Xenopus tropicalis: one gene and its partners. The main gene of each other region encodes a partner of the protein of the gene in region 2 in a complex. Links are inferred from orthologs where the notes say so. Each region holds a gene or a part of one and is shown on either strand. Other genes may lie near its edges.

Evidence for each region. Proteins that work in one complex are often made in the same cells at the same time.
Region 1: dhx16 (region 2) and cwc27 share a complex: the UniProt entries of both Homo sapiens proteins name them as parts of the minor spliceosome. The link is inferred for Xenopus tropicalis from reciprocal best matches to the Homo sapiens genes DHX16 and CWC27.
Region 3: dhx16 (region 2) and rbm48 share a complex: the UniProt entries of both Homo sapiens proteins name them as parts of the minor spliceosome. The link is inferred for Xenopus tropicalis from reciprocal best matches to the Homo sapiens genes DHX16 and RBM48.

What each region holds. Positions count from the first base shown.
Region 1 is NC_030677.2:188,226,007-188,231,357, forward strand, and holds the start of cwc27 (spliceosome-associated protein CWC27 homolog), read right to left. Parts: upstream 3,187-5,351; 5' UTR 3,095-3,186; intron 3,015-3,094; 5' UTR 2,923-3,014; coding exon 2,881-2,922; intron 497-2,880; coding exon 400-496; intron 1-399. Other genes in the region: protein SREK1IP1, read left to right, coding at 3,368-3,380. UniProt on the Homo sapiens protein: As part of the spliceosome, plays a role in pre-mRNA splicing. Probable inactive PPIase with no peptidyl-prolyl cis-trans isomerase activity. As a component of the minor spliceosome, involved in the splicing of U12-type introns in pre-mRNAs.
Region 2 is NC_030684.2:75,474,961-75,479,327, reverse strand, and holds the end of dhx16 (putative pre-mRNA-splicing factor ATP-dependent RNA helicase DHX16), read left to right. Parts: intron 1-671; coding exon 672-845; intron 846-1,478; coding exon 1,479-1,607; 3' UTR 1,608-1,609; intron 1,610-3,103; 3' UTR 3,104-3,204; downstream 3,205-4,367. UniProt on the Homo sapiens protein: Required for pre-mRNA splicing as a component of the spliceosome. Contributes to pre-mRNA splicing after spliceosome formation and prior to the first transesterification reaction.
Region 3 is NC_030682.2:31,762,559-31,767,826, forward strand, and holds the start of rbm48 (RNA-binding protein 48), read right to left. Parts: upstream 3,187-5,268; 5' UTR 3,072-3,186; coding exon 2,961-3,071; intron 42-2,960; coding exon 1-41. Other genes in the region: pex1 (peroxisome biogenesis factor 1), read left to right, coding at 3,414-3,524. UniProt on the Homo sapiens protein: As a component of the minor spliceosome, involved in the splicing of U12-type introns in pre-mRNAs.

The DNA.
Region 1 (5,351 bases), on a different chromosome or scaffold from region 2:
CATAGTTTAGCATAGGTTAATGTGTCACTATAAAGCAAGGGTTCTTAAGCTATGGTTTGAGTGCCATATACGGCCGCCCATGACGTTAAGAGTGGGATTCCACTTCTTTTAATAATGTGAAATGTCTTTCTACAATGCATAACATTTATTAAAACAAAGTGCATAAGGGGTTGTGAAATAGATTACCCAATTTAAAAAGGGAAGAAGAAGGGGGAAATCAATAGAAAATCAAATCTATGACCCAATAGAAGCAAAAAATAATAAATTATTGCCTGCCACTGTTGGTTTTCTCTTTGGTTGCAAGGATCAGCTTAGCAAGGCATCATTATCAACGGTTTTCTAAAGTTCTGAAGTAATCTGGCTTTTATTGCAAGTGTGTGTTTCTGTTTGCAACGTTACCTTCTAAACAAAGCTGTACAAAGTTTCGGCATGCTCTTGGTGCCTCTTTTGACCACAATTCAATGTCAATCTCTCCAGCAGTTGTTTTCAGCAAAACCTGGAAAAGTGGTAGTAAAAATTATTATTTGGGCAGGATTTCTTCCTCTTCTTGCTGCCTTTGTCTTTCACGTGTGGCATATAGTATGACACAAGTTCACACAGGACATCCTACCCTACCCGTGAGCATTATTTAAATATAAAAAAGTTGGGGAGTAACACAAGCACGAAAAAGTTTTCTAGGGGTTACAATGAGGACTGTGACTGGTTATTAGGTAGCCCAACGTGGATGGGCAGACTACAGGAGGCTCAGTTTGGCAGTACACATGGTCTTTATGCCCCCAAAATTTGCATCCAAGCCAGAGGCTACTGGGAGCAACTTCCAAGGGGTTGGGGAGCAACATGTTCCTTGCAAGCCACTGGTTGGGGCTCACTGCTGTAGACCTTCTTTACCTCTTACATGGAACTAGATATATAATTATCACAGCGTAGTTCAGGAGATACTTATGGGTACATCATATAGAAAGAAATGGGATGACATTGAGCAACAATATGGAGGTGAGCAAGTTGATGGCAGTGGATGTGATCTACTTGGACTTTGCTAAAGCATTTAGCAGTACTGCACAGAAAGTTAATGGTAAAATTTGGCCTGGAACATAGTGCTGGGCGGTATGACCAAAAATTTATATCACGGTATTTTTTTTATTATATCGGTATCACGGTATTTGACGGTATTTTTTTTTCCCCATGCATGATTAGGTGACCACCCCAAACACCCCCCCCCCCCCAATTTTTCTTACTATTTCCGGGTTGCACGCGCGACGTCAGCGCGCACAACCCGGAAATAGTAAGAAAAATTGCCAGGAGGCGCCCACACCGGTATGCCGGTAAGTTAAAAATTTTTATCATTTTTTTTTTAAAAAAATGGTGTTCGGTATATACCGGTATACCGCCCAGCACTACTGGAACATAATATTTTAAATTGGATAAATAAATGATTGAAGGATAGATTACAGTGTAGAGAGAGGTGGTAAATAGAACATTTTCTAATTGGGCCAGTGTTGTTAGTGGAGTACCGCAGGGGTCAGTCCTTGGTCCTTTGCTTTTTAACTTGTTTATTAATGACCTGGAGGTGGACATTGAAAGTACTGTTTCTATTTTTGCTGATGATACTAAATTGTGCAAAACTATAAGTTCCATGCAGGATGCTGCCGCTTTGCAGAGCTGACAAAGCTGGAAAACTGGGCAGCAAATAAGGTTTAATGTTGAAAACTGCAAAGTTATGCACTTGGGTAGAAATAATATAATAATGTAATAATATTACACACTAAATAGTAGTGTGTTGTGGGGATCCTTAATAAAGAAGTATCTGGTTTTTTTTGTAGATAACAAGTTGTCTAATTCTAGGCAGTGTCATTCTGTGGCTACAATAAAGTGCTTAAAAAAAGGGCATTGACTCAAGGGATGAAAACATAATTTTGCCCCTTTATAGGTCCCTGGTAAGGCCTCACCCTGAGTATGCAGTGCAGTTTTGGGCTCCAGTCCTTAAGAAGGATATTAATGAGCTGGAGAAAGTGCAGAGACTGCAACTAAACTGGTAAAGGGGATGGAAGGGTTAAACTATGGGGTTAGACTGTCAGGGTTGGGGTTGTTTTCTCTGGAAAAGAGGCGCTTGCGAGGGGACATGATTACTCTGTACAAGTACATTAGAGGGGAATATAGGCAGATGGGGGGGTTCTTTTTTTCCCATAAAAACAACCACCACACCAGAGGCCCCCCCTTAGGAACGGAGCTTCCATTTGAAGCAGCGTAGGGGGTTCCTCACGCCCCGGGGAGGGCAGTGAGGTTGGGGAATGCCCTTCCTAGTGATGTGGTAATGGCAGACTCTGTTAATGCCTATAAGAGGGGCCTGGATGAGTTCTTGAACAAGCAGAATATCCAAGGCTATTGTGATACTAATATCTACAGTTAGTATTGATGTTGGTATATATAGTTTAGGTATGTTAGTTTGGTATATAGCCTATATATGTGGCTGGGGTTCGCCTGGAGCCCATTCATGTAACTAAAGGACAGCCTGCACTGGTGCATTTGGGCACCTTCCTAGCAGGACATTAGTTAGTCAGCTCAGAAGCTCTGTCCTAGGGCTGAATATGCAGGAGGAGTCTCCATAAAGCGCAGCACAGTCCTCTCTGCTCCCCATGTGGATTATACCAATGTGCTGACAGCTGGGGGGGGCAGCTACATGACGCGAAACTAAAACATTTACCCTGGGAAATGTATTTTCACAGAAAAACATTGAGTAAATTTACTTATAGACTTTACATTTCCTTTATCAGGTACCGCGCTGGGAGAGATATTTCAGCAACAGCAGATGGGAATCCCATGCTAAATATTATTCCTTTATCCTTCTGCCCTACAAGCCCCTTACTTTCTCCCGCTGCTCACCTTGCCGTTTGTCGGCGGCTCCTGAATGTAAATATTGCTCATTGTTACTCAGCTTCTTGCAAACAAACTCCAGCGTGCAACCTGACAGGACGGGACCGCCCACATACAGCCTCAGAGGGGTGCCAGAGAAGATTCTGATTTAAAAATGACACAGCAAAGAGCGTTAACAGGACTCGTCCCATCCACAGTTATATAGTAGCTCGTATTTTGTTACCCGAATGCTCCAAGATCACAGCGTCTACAGCAGAGGATGATTACACCAGAGTTGCATTGCTTTAGTTCCCCCCTTTCTCTTAGTGTGGCCGAAAGTACACTTCCCGGAAACCAGAGCTTTCATTTGCGTTCCACTGCGCACCGCTTATTCTGTTCCGCTGAGAAACAAGTCCATGCTGTGATTGAGTTCCGAGGAAGTGAATTGGTTAGGAGGCGCGCAGTAACTGTTTGAGGGGTGCGATCTTCTGTGTACGGACGCTGAGAATTGTGACTTATGGCTGTCCCAGGTTAGTCTGATTTATAAATCACGTTTTTTACCTCACCTGATCCATCTGATTTTGATAGAGAGGACTTTTATAATACAGGCTCGAGTCTGAACTCGACATGTGTAAAGTCTCTGCAAAGTGCATTATGTTGTACTGTACACTGTACGCACACAACCCAACTCCCCAACCCAATTAGTTTTATCCCCCGCTATTTTATGCCCGAGTCCCCAAAATACGTAGGACATCATTTTTTTCTGCTTTTGAAGGGGTGGTTCACCTTCAGTTAAACTTTAAGTATGTTATAGAATAGCCTGTTTTGAGCAACTTTTCAACTAGTCTTCATTTTATATTTTCGGTTGTTTCTGCCTTTGTCTTCAGGCTCTTAAGGTCCCCATACACGGGCCGATAGAAGCTGCCGATATTGGTCCCTTGGACCGACTCGGCAGCTTATCGGCCCGTGCAGGGGCAGAAACGATCGGACTGGCCGACCGATATCTGGCCTGAAATTGGCCAGATATCGGTCGGCCAGGTTAGAAAATCCTGTCAGACCGGGGACCGCATCGGCTCGTTGATGTGGTCCCCGAACCGACTGCCCCATTGCTGCTTGCAGAATTCGATCGTTTGGCCCCAGGGCCAAACGATCGAATTCACCGAAATTCCTCCCCGATATCGCCACCCGTAGGTGGTGATATCGGGTGAAGATCCGCTCGCTTGGCGACATCGCCAAGCGAGCGGATCTGCCCGTGTATGGCCAGCTTTAGGCTAAGAACCCACCGAGCGAGTTACTTGCCCACAATATCGCATGCGAGTAGCTGCTCCAAAAAGGACTACTCACGCAGAGTTGCCTGCAGGAGGAAACTTTGTGCAACTTCGGAACACGAAACGATACAAAGGGCTTTCCACCAGCGACTTCTATTGTTACCTGTGGAAAGCCTTTTCGAAGCAGTTACTCACATGTGATAGATCTCTCCTAACTCACTCAGTGGGTTTGTACCCTTAGGGCTCTAGTACATGGGGAGATTAGTCGCCCGCGACAAATCTCCCGTGTTGCGGGCGACTAATCTCCCCATGTACCAGAGCCCTTAGGGTGAAGACACATGGAGCTAATAGTAGCTGCTACTTGTAGTAGACAATGCTGATCATTTACTGATAACAGCAGGGCTGTGGAGTCGGAGTCGAGGAGTCGGAGGCAATTTTGGGTACCTGGAGTCGGAGTCGGCAAAAAATGAACCGACTCCGACTCCTACTAAATTTAAATGGGAATAAAAAAAAAAAAATAAAGCAAGTTTAAATGTCCCAATTCACAAACAGTCATAATTAATTACTTCTCTGCTATAAGAATAAAGCCCAATGCACGCAGTGCATAAACTAACACGTTGAGTGACCATGAAGCATGCTTTTCACTGACTGTATGAATGTATAAAATACATTCGCATATTAAAAACAGAGGAGTCGGAAGTATCAGAAACTGAGGAGTCGGAGAATTTTTCTACCGACTCCACAGCCCTGGATAACAGTCTCAACATGTTTTTTAGCAGAGGCAATTCTCAGTATTGTCTATGGCAGGGGATTTTCTGGCATTTAGTAGCTGTAAAAAAGTAGCTGCTACTAGTAGCTCCGTGTGACTTCAACAGTTTTTAAATGGGACCAAAAATCCCCCACTGCTTATATCTTAGTTGGGATCAAGAACAAGGTACTGTTTTATTTATACAGAGAAAAAGGAAATAATTTTTAAAAATGTGAATTATTTGATTAAAATGGAGTCTATGGGAGATGACCTTTCCGTAATTCGGAACTTTCTGGATAATGGGTTTCCAGATAAGGGATCCCATACCTGTACCTTTATTGGCTAGAAAAAAGGAACTAAAATGTTCTGGAAGCTTGCTATGATTATCTTAGTTAGCCAATAAAGGTATCACCTTTATACCACTTTTGTTATTTTTTATTTCAAAAGGGTTACCCTGTAAACATGATGGGTGTTATGAACAGGTT
Region 2 (4,367 bases):
GTTTAATTCACCTAGCAATACCATAGTAGTTTAAAAGTCTGATAAGAATAGCAATAAAACGGGTCCGTTGCAGTTCATGTGGTTTTTGGTTGTAAGTGAACCCAACAACCAGTTAGCTTTAAAGGTGGAATAGTAAGGCTAATAATACAATACAGACAAAATAAATAATGACTATTTAAAAAGTTGCTTACATGGGAAGGAAAGGTATTATCACTGGGGGTGCCAAAATCTAAGGCATCCCCCAGTGAGTGTGATCGCTTACACTGGGCTGGTACTCCTGTTAGGAGAAAACTGCACCAGCCTGGGGTAGCTGTGAGCGAGCCATTCCTTCTTCAAGCCGCATGTGCAGCAGAGTGAAAAGCCAAACTTTAACAAAAAAGCTGTCTTTTTCACTCTACTGCGCATGTGCTGGCCCTGGGATTCTGAGTATAGAAGTAAGAGGATCACTCTCTTGCAGCTACTCCAGGTATAAGGTAAGCAATTACAATCACTGGGGGTGCATAATATTTTGAAGTGATTTTATCTTTCCTTCTCCTTTAAAATAGGTGACTCTGTAACATATTAAAAGTGATTCTAAAGGTATATTTTCAGGTATATTTTAAATGTTCAGTAACTATATTAGGACTGTTACTCCTACTTGCTTTGATATTGTTACATTTCTTTAATAATAGGCAATCACAGCTGGATATTTCTACCACACGGCACGTCTTACTCGTAGTGGATACAAGACTGTCAAACAGCAGCAGGCTGTATATATCCATCCAAATAGCAGTCTTCATGAGGAGCAACCCCGCTGGGTTATATATCATGAGCTGGTTTTCACCACCAAGGAATATATGAGACAGGTCAGCTCTTACAGAGTGCATGTGTAGAAATAAGTGTGTGTGTATCCTGTAAGGCAGAATTAACCCTTGGTGTCTGTATTCCTAAAAAGAAAGAGATATTTTGCTGCAGATATAGTCACCCCTCACTATATAGTCCAGGGCAGTGCTGTCCAACTTCTGTGGTACCGAGGGCCGGAATTTTTCCGACCTACGTGGTGGAGGGCCGATAATGGAAGCCAGTTTTAACCACTCCCCTTTTTGAAACTGCACCCACTTGAAATCGCACCCGTGTTATCACATGACCATACCCATATTAATGGTTGTAGTACAGCAAAAACCTGCCATACTCTGCCTTCCCTACCCTGCCTGCGTGTGCCATACTTTGACTGTGTGTGCCATTCTTGGCTGGTTTGTGCCATACTTGGCCTGTGTGTGCCATACTCTTCCTGCCCTACCCTGCCTGTGTGTACCATACGCTGCCTGCCATACTCTGCCTGCTCTATTCTGCCTGTGTGTGCCATACTCTGCCTGCCCTACCCTGCCTGTATGTGTGTATATATATATATATATATATATATATATATATATATATATATATAATATAATTATTTGAGTGCATATATGTATAAAAATATAAATATATATTGTGTTCAGATTATAGAGATTGATAGCACATGGCTCTTAGAGGTAGCTCCACATTACTACAAGTCCCGAGAGCTGGAAGACCCAACTAGCAAGAAGATGCCAAGAAAAGCTGGCAAAAGCAGGGAAGAACTAGGCTGAAGGTAGCCATCTTCATTACCTGTGTATTTGTTTCTACTTTACAGTGTTTGTCTATTGCAAAAAAAAAACCTGGAAATCAAAGACAATGAATAATGTATAGTTCTAGTAATTTAAGTTTTACCATTCTTCTATTACAGTTTGTAATATGCCACACAAATAGGCACTACAACCCCCAGAAATCAGAAATGTTATTAAATACAGTTTCTAATTCTTTTCCTGTTGTTGCAACCAGGGTTCCCAAATTAAGTCAATTTTTTCTGGACATCCTCTAGCGAGGTATGCCAGCTTTTGGTTAGGGAGAGTTTCATTAATCAGTTTCTTCCAGAATGCCAAAGAGGGAGGGGTGTTCAACATATCAGTTAAGAGAATAGCTTTTTTAGCATAATAAAATAACTGCAAATAGCATGGTTTCTCCTATTGAGGTCACCAGTTATACCCAGTAGGCACAGGCTCGAAGACAGTATGTTGGGAAATGTGAGTATACGCTCAATATATGTCACTATTTAACACCAGAAAGTACGTATAACTGGGCACTCGCAAAACACATGTAAAAAAGGAACCAACATCATTTTGGCATTTGGAACATTGGTGGTCGGAGGCTCCTGATATACTTTGGACTGTCTCTGTGAGGTCAAATAGACTCTATGAATAATCTTAATTTGGATGTACGTGTCTCTAGCTGACATGGTGAGTTAAGACACCCAATCAAGTGCCTCTTCCCACATTTCCTCTTCCAAATCTGGTATATTGTCATACCACTTTTTCTTGGTCCTGAGGAGAGTATTGGATTGAAGATTCATCAAAATAGCATATAAATATGTCAGTGCCTTAGTTAGATCTTGTCTATGGAGGTATAGTTCTACAACAAATTGTAGTGCACACAAAGTATTTTGTGTAAAGATGCAATTTTTTGCATTTATTCTGACCTGAGCACAGTTTTTAAAATTGTACACACAACTTCAAAATGTGCACCTAAAAGAATTTTTTTGTGCACATAGTCAAAACAGAAGGCCAATGAATTCACATTTAAAGCAGGCTAGCATTTGCCAGCTATCAACTTAATGATGTGAATATTTTCAGAAAGGCATTCCAGTGTCCTAATATGCAATATCCTAAATGCTGTTATACAGAGAAATGCCAATGTCCAGATACAGTACTGAGATACCTCTCACTATATCTTATGTACACAATGCAGGATATGCTGTTCCACAGAGAATACCCAGTGTCATGTTAGGCTTGTGTGCTGCTATTAAAAGACATCCTAGTCTGCTTTGTATCATCCTAAGGGCAATCTGTGCTGATAAATTGCTTAGTCATTTTCATGCAGAGACAAGCCAGTGTTCTGATATGTTATATATAAAAAGAGAGACTCGGTAGTGTTTTAAATAATTAGTGTTCAGTTGGAGATTTCAAGTATATTTATACTCAGAGGTGTTTCACACGTGAATATATTGAACAATATGTTGGTTAATTGTGAATTTATTTTTATCTTTTAGAACTTTAACTCTGCTGCAGTAGAACAACACTTGTATGGGCTGTGGCTGGATTGTTTAAACATCTGTAAATCTCTTGTATATAAATATTTTTTGGTACACGATTGGGGGTTTTTTTGTCTTTTTTTTTTTTTATTGTTTTTAATTCACCATTGTCAAATTTTGGAATTTAATCACTCTATGAGAACAGAAAGAGGCCTACTGAACAAACTCTTTATGTAGTAGAGTTGGTGGCTGAGGGAAGTGGCATAGGTAGCTGTGCAATAAGAGAAATTCAGATGACACAACTTTAAGGCTTCAGTTACAATTCCCAAACCAAAATATACCTAAATGCATCAATATTAGCCTCCAGTGGGTAGTATCTATAGTAGAACGTTTTTATATATTTGTTTTAATGCGTTGGATTACTGCAGAATACAGGGTTTGTCTCTACTCATTTTTCCAAAACCTTAAAGGTGCACCCTTCTGGAAGAAAATCCATGACAGCTGGGAATCTTAGGGATCACTTTGCATCATTGAGGGTAACCCCAAATATGTGAGAGGATAGGCAGATCACTGAGAAGCCAGGGAAGAGGAGATTGGACAGTTAGGGTAAATGTAGGGCTGCCATCTGGCTGGTAAAAATGATGCTTTATCCCAGTTAATAGGATAGATACATTTATTTGAAGGCTGGTATTTTTTTCCAGAAAATGTGGCAAGCCTATGTATATGAGGGAAACAAGTTTGCTTCCATTATAATAGGATGGCAGGGCCGGGTGGCTGATCTAGTTTACAAATTTGCCATTTTAAGTGAAGATGTTGAGAAATACTTAATTCCAAGTTGTAGCCATGAGATCCACCATTTGTACTCTCCAGTGATGACGTGGTGGTGACAAATCCACAATCACTTACTGACTGTAGCAGCATTATGCTATATTTATATAATGGAATTATATTCCACAGCACTTGCCAAAGATTCCATATCAATCCTTGCCACAATTTATTTGTCTAATAGAAACAACTGTATCCAAAAACACAACCTACCTGGAGATACTGTAGAGGACACCGGATTATAAAGGCTTAGGAAGGAAAACTTTAGAGCTCTGTGAACATCAAATTTAACCACATGAATCTTATGGGGTAGAACACATCTTAATTTGGGCTTTTTTCATCTCCACTATAAAATCTTAATCTGACCAAAGTAAAAAAAAATATAGCATCTAATTTAAACCAAAAGAAACACACACTGGTGAATATGTTCTGCTCCTGAGAAGACACTTGAAAAGAC
Region 3 (5,268 bases), on a different chromosome or scaffold from region 2:
TGCACCAAGAGGTACCGTGACTCCAGATTTATAGTGTACACCTTAAAAGTAATGGAAAAGGTTAGCAGGAATTGCCAGTTTTTGGGGGTTTTCTTTTATTATTATTATTAACATTTATTTATAAAGTGCCAACATATTTCACAGTGCTGTACAATAAGTGGGTTTCATACACTGGACATCTAAGCAATCAAAAACCGATACAAAAGGTGAAGAGAGCCCTGCCCAAAAGAGCTTACAATCTACAAGAAGCATAGTTTTATAATTCTCAAAGTGAAGTCATTCACTTGGAAGGATAATGGTAAGAGAAAGCGCTTTCTATAGCATCTATAGCACTACTGGTGGATCAGTAACCTTGTTTTAAAATAATTGTTCTTAAAACATTTTAAAACTGATTGCCATTTGTTTCTTTCTTCATCTCGTGTGTTTTTCTTTTTGGAGGGAGACTTCTAGCCAATCCATGTGAAACAGGTGAAATAATAGGTGAATATATAAAATTTACTTTTAAAAAAAGACAGTGACGGGGTTGTTTCTCTATCCACACTTGTAGCATATATTTACGAGCAGCTGCAGATATGATAAACAGTACTTTTCTACTCCCCCAATAAGTCTAGTATTTGGTAGGGATACCAAACATTGTCAATTTTGGTAACATAGGAACATAATCCATTTTGGTAACATAGGAACATAGTCTAGCAAGTTATCAATGGCATAACAAGTTATTGATACCCAAAACTTTTTACTATGAGGACATGTCCAGAAACAATTAAATAAATCTGCCTCCAGAGAGTCCTATTTGGGACTGACTTTTGGCGAGTAGTAGGCTCAATAAAAAGAATTTTAGATGCATTTCTTTATATGATCCCATTGGAAGACATTTATTTGCATACTGTAAGGCCTTGAGACATTTGTAATTGAGAAAATTTCAGAAGCCATTTGTTGTGTCCCTTGGTGGAAGAAGTATAGACTATCTGCTTATATAATAGACAGGGTTGGAATGACAGCACACGCAGGATGTTTTTCAAGAAGAATCACAGAGGTTTAGGGCCCTTTTGTGCTTAAAAAGGTTTGTACTGCACTGTGATGTTACTGTCCCTGATGAAAGTTCCAGATAGGAACTGAAACGTCGGACTGAATAAAGCCTCACATTTATTTATCTAAACCTCTGTGATTCTTCTTGAAAAACATCCTGCGTGTGCTGTCATTCCAACCCTGTGTATCTACGCTTTCAGCACTGGCACCCAGGTATTAACTTGCTCTTATGGTGTGCAGCTTTCCAGCAACTCATTTCTGCTTATATAATAGTTTAAAGCCCAGTGATATAGCTCTCTTGGCGGGAGGATGGCTATATAATTTTACTGGTATCGCTTTTGAAGGAAAGCCAGTAACTTGCTAGAAAGCACTGGATACTTTTCTTTGGCTTGAACATACGTTAAAGTTTTTCTATTTGCATCATCTGTAAAATGGCTTAATCAAGCCAGAGTGATACAACTGTTTGTATATGCCATGTTTGCCATACTGTATAAAGCAAATGGTTATCTGTCCAAGTATTCAGCAAGGAATCAACAGTTTTTAAAGTCCTAAACTAAAGATTTCTCTGCGCAAAAGCCTGATTCTTCATTAGTACCACAGATTTGTGTGTTATATAATTAACGCAGCAACTGGGAATATTGTTTTCAAGGCATGGGGCAAAATACAGTGAAATATCACCAAAAAAAAGCCTGTTCCAGGCTGCTAAAAAATAAACATTAATCTTTCAGTAGAACAGTGATCCCAGTGATCAAATGGCTCTGTCACAGGCCTGACCTCAATCCAGCTGAGAATCTCTGGCATTATATGAATAAATCTGACTGGGTGCAATAGCCGAGGGCTACAGGCACAAAACTGAGATGAGGCACATTTTCAGTTTTTGGTCAAAATATAATTTTTTTTATTTCTCAAACATTTAAAATTTAAATGCACATCAGCATCTTACATTTGTCACATGATATGGAAAGCTTAAAACAGACCCTTACAAGTCAATCTTGGTAAGCGTCAAATTTAAACTTTTTTTTTTTTTTTAAATATACCCCTCAGTTTAACGTGAACCCAGTAACTGAGTGCATTATACTCTTCTTTATGAAATTAAAAGAAAATAGTATCAGTTTGTGTGTGTTTTTTTTATATGCAGACATGTTAAGTGTGCTGGTTGTATGAGAATGTGTGCAGAGTGAAATGATGTAATGTTACAGGGCAAGGAAAGGGAAACTGGAGTGTGTGCTAGGGCAGACCCTGCAGTTGGAAGGGGGCCCAGGAATGGAAGTGGCCCAGGAATGGAAGTGGCCCAGGAATGGAAGTGGCCCAATAAGACCCTAATTGATGAGAAATGTCAATGTATCTTGGTAGAATAGGTTAACATACAAATATTTTTTGGGCCCTAAATTGAAATTGTTGTGGTACCCCACTGGCTTGCAGTATACATGACTGCTGGTGTAACTAGAGACCACTGGGCCCAACCACAAAATTATCTTTTTATTCATAAACATATATTTAGCCTTATCAGTTGCAGCCACTGGGTCTGTGACATCTATAATTACAATCATGGGAAATAGCCCATAGTTTATAATGAAACCTACTGCCTCCAAATGGTGAACTAGAACTCTAATCCCTCTCCCACACTATTCCCCTATCAGTGGGTGCAGATAAAAAGGCAGCATTTTTTCCTTCAGTGGAACAATATGCTCCTATGTAGAAACAGAAATCATTACCAGTTCCCACACAGTGCCCAATTAAAACCACATGAATATAGAAGAGCTAACATTCTTATGGAAGCTGTAACTCAGTGATAACTCTAGGGAGCAATTTCTACGAAGGGAAACCTGCTAGAGCGGCACTGGCGCTCAGTCCCACCGCAAGAATACGCTGGAATACTAGTTGTGTGGACGTATAAAAACCAAAACAAAAACTGTAAATGTTTCACGCACTTTGACTGCTCTGGGCCTCCGTCCTTCGCGGTACTTGGCCCGTGAGGCGCATATCTTTCGCTGCTCATGGTGTGCGTAGGCCTGCACTTGCACTGCTGCGCTTTCTGCCATCGGCTTCTGCTGTCTAAGAAATAGTTCCCTCTCTCCCTGTACCAAACACAGGCCGGGACACAGAACCAATAGGCGGAAAGGCAGCAGAACCAATAGGCGGAAGGACTGCCCCGCACACAGGCGTCATTAGAGCACGCCATTCTCTGATTGGGCGGGAGGTACTATACGTCAGCAGACACAGGGTGAGTGGGATTTCCTCGATTGTCAAAGGTGAAACAGCGCGGAAGTTACCCAGTAGGCATGAAGGAGCTGATAACGTTAGCGATGGAAGTTCTGTTACTTGCACGTTCGTCATACACAGCGCTGGAGTGAAGGGGGTTGCTGTGGGTACGCCACAGTAGGATGCTAGGTCCGGGACCGCCCGGGGCTGCTGTGTCCCTGAAACTCACAAGTGCTAAGGACACATTTTTGCGTGTGACACCTGAGGTGCTCGCACAATTACGCCTGGAGCAGGTAACTCTAACCGGGGCCCGTCTGTCCGTGATGGGCAGCACTTGTTTATTTTAATATGATGCCTGTAATGGCCCTGTCCGGGCACTAACCAGGGCTTTGGGATTCTCAGGTGATTCTACATGGAAAGCAGGAGGGAGTTTAGTAACATGACATGAGGTGTATTTGTGTAGGTGTCAGAAAAGGATTAATAATATCAACTGGGATAATAGCCTCTGGGAAGGGACTGGGGCTGTGGGATAGCAGGTATAGTAGGGAGAGATGGTGCCTATAGTAGCAGTGGGGGGATAATAGCCTCTGGGAAGGGACTGGGGCTGTGGGATAGCAGGTATAGTAGGGAGAGATGGTGCCTATAGTAGCAGTGGGGGGATAATAGCCTCTGGGAAGGGACTGTGGCTATGGGATAGCAGGTATAGTAGGGAGAGATGGTGCCTATAGTAGCAGTGGGATAATAGCCTCTGGGAAGGGACTGTGGCTGTGGGATAGCAGGTATAGTAGGGAGAGATGGTGCCTATAGTAGCAGTGGGATAATAGCCTCTGGGAAGGGACTGTGGCTGTGGGATAGCAGGTATAGTAGGGAGAGATGGTGCCTATAGTAGCAGTGGGGGATAATAGCCTCTGGGAAGGGACTGGGGCTGTGGGATAGCAGGTATAGTAGGGAGAGATGGTGCCTATAGTAGCAGTGGGGGGATAATAGCCTCTGGGAAGGGACTGTGGCTATGGGATAGCAGGTATAGTAGGGAGAGATGGTGCCTATAGTAGCAGTGGGATAATAGCCTCTGGGAAGGGACTGTGGCTGTGGGATAGCAGGTATAGTAGGGAGAGATGGTGCCTATAGTAGCAGTGGGATAATAGCCTCTGGGAAGGGACTGTGGCTGTGGGATAGCAGGTATAGTAGGGAGAGATGGTGCCTATAGTAGCAGTGGGGGGATAATAGCCTCTGGGAAGGGACTGTGGCTGTGGCATAGCAGGTATAGTAGGGAGAGATGGTGCCTATAGTAGCAGTGGGATAATAGCCTCTGGGAAGGGACTGTGGCTGTGGGATAGCAGGTATAGTAGGGAGAGATGGTGCCTATAGTAGCAGTGGGATAATAGCCTCTGGGAAGGGACTGTGGCTGTGGGATAGCAGGTATAGTAGGGAGAGATGGTGCCTATAGTAGCAGTGGGATAATAGCCTCTGGGAAGGGACTGTGGCTGTGGGATAGCAGGTATAGTAGGGAGAGATGGTGCCTATAGTAGCAGTGGGATAATAGCCTCTGGGAAGGGACTGTGGCTGTGGGATAGCAGGTATAGTAGGGATAGTAGGGAGAGATGGTGCCTATAGTAGCAGTGGGATAATAGCCTCTGGGAAGGGACTGTGGCTGTGGGATAGCAGGTATAGTAGGGAGAGATGGTGCCTATAGTAGCAGTGGGATAATATTCCCTGGGAAGGGACTGTGGCTGTGGGATAGCAGGTATAGTAGGGAGAGATGGTGCCTATAGTAGCAGTGGGATAATATTCCCTGGGAAGGGACTGTGGCTGTGGGATAGCAGGTATAGTAGGGAGAGATGGTGCCTATAGTAGCAGTGGGGGGATAATAGCCTCTGGGAAGGGACTGTGGCTGTGGGATAGCAGGTATAGTAGGGAGAGATGGTGCCTATAGTAGCAGTGGGGGGATAATAGCCTCTGGGAAGGGACTGTGGCTGTGGGCATAGCAGGTATAGTAGGGAGAGATGGTGCCTATAGTAGCAGTGGGATAATAGCCTC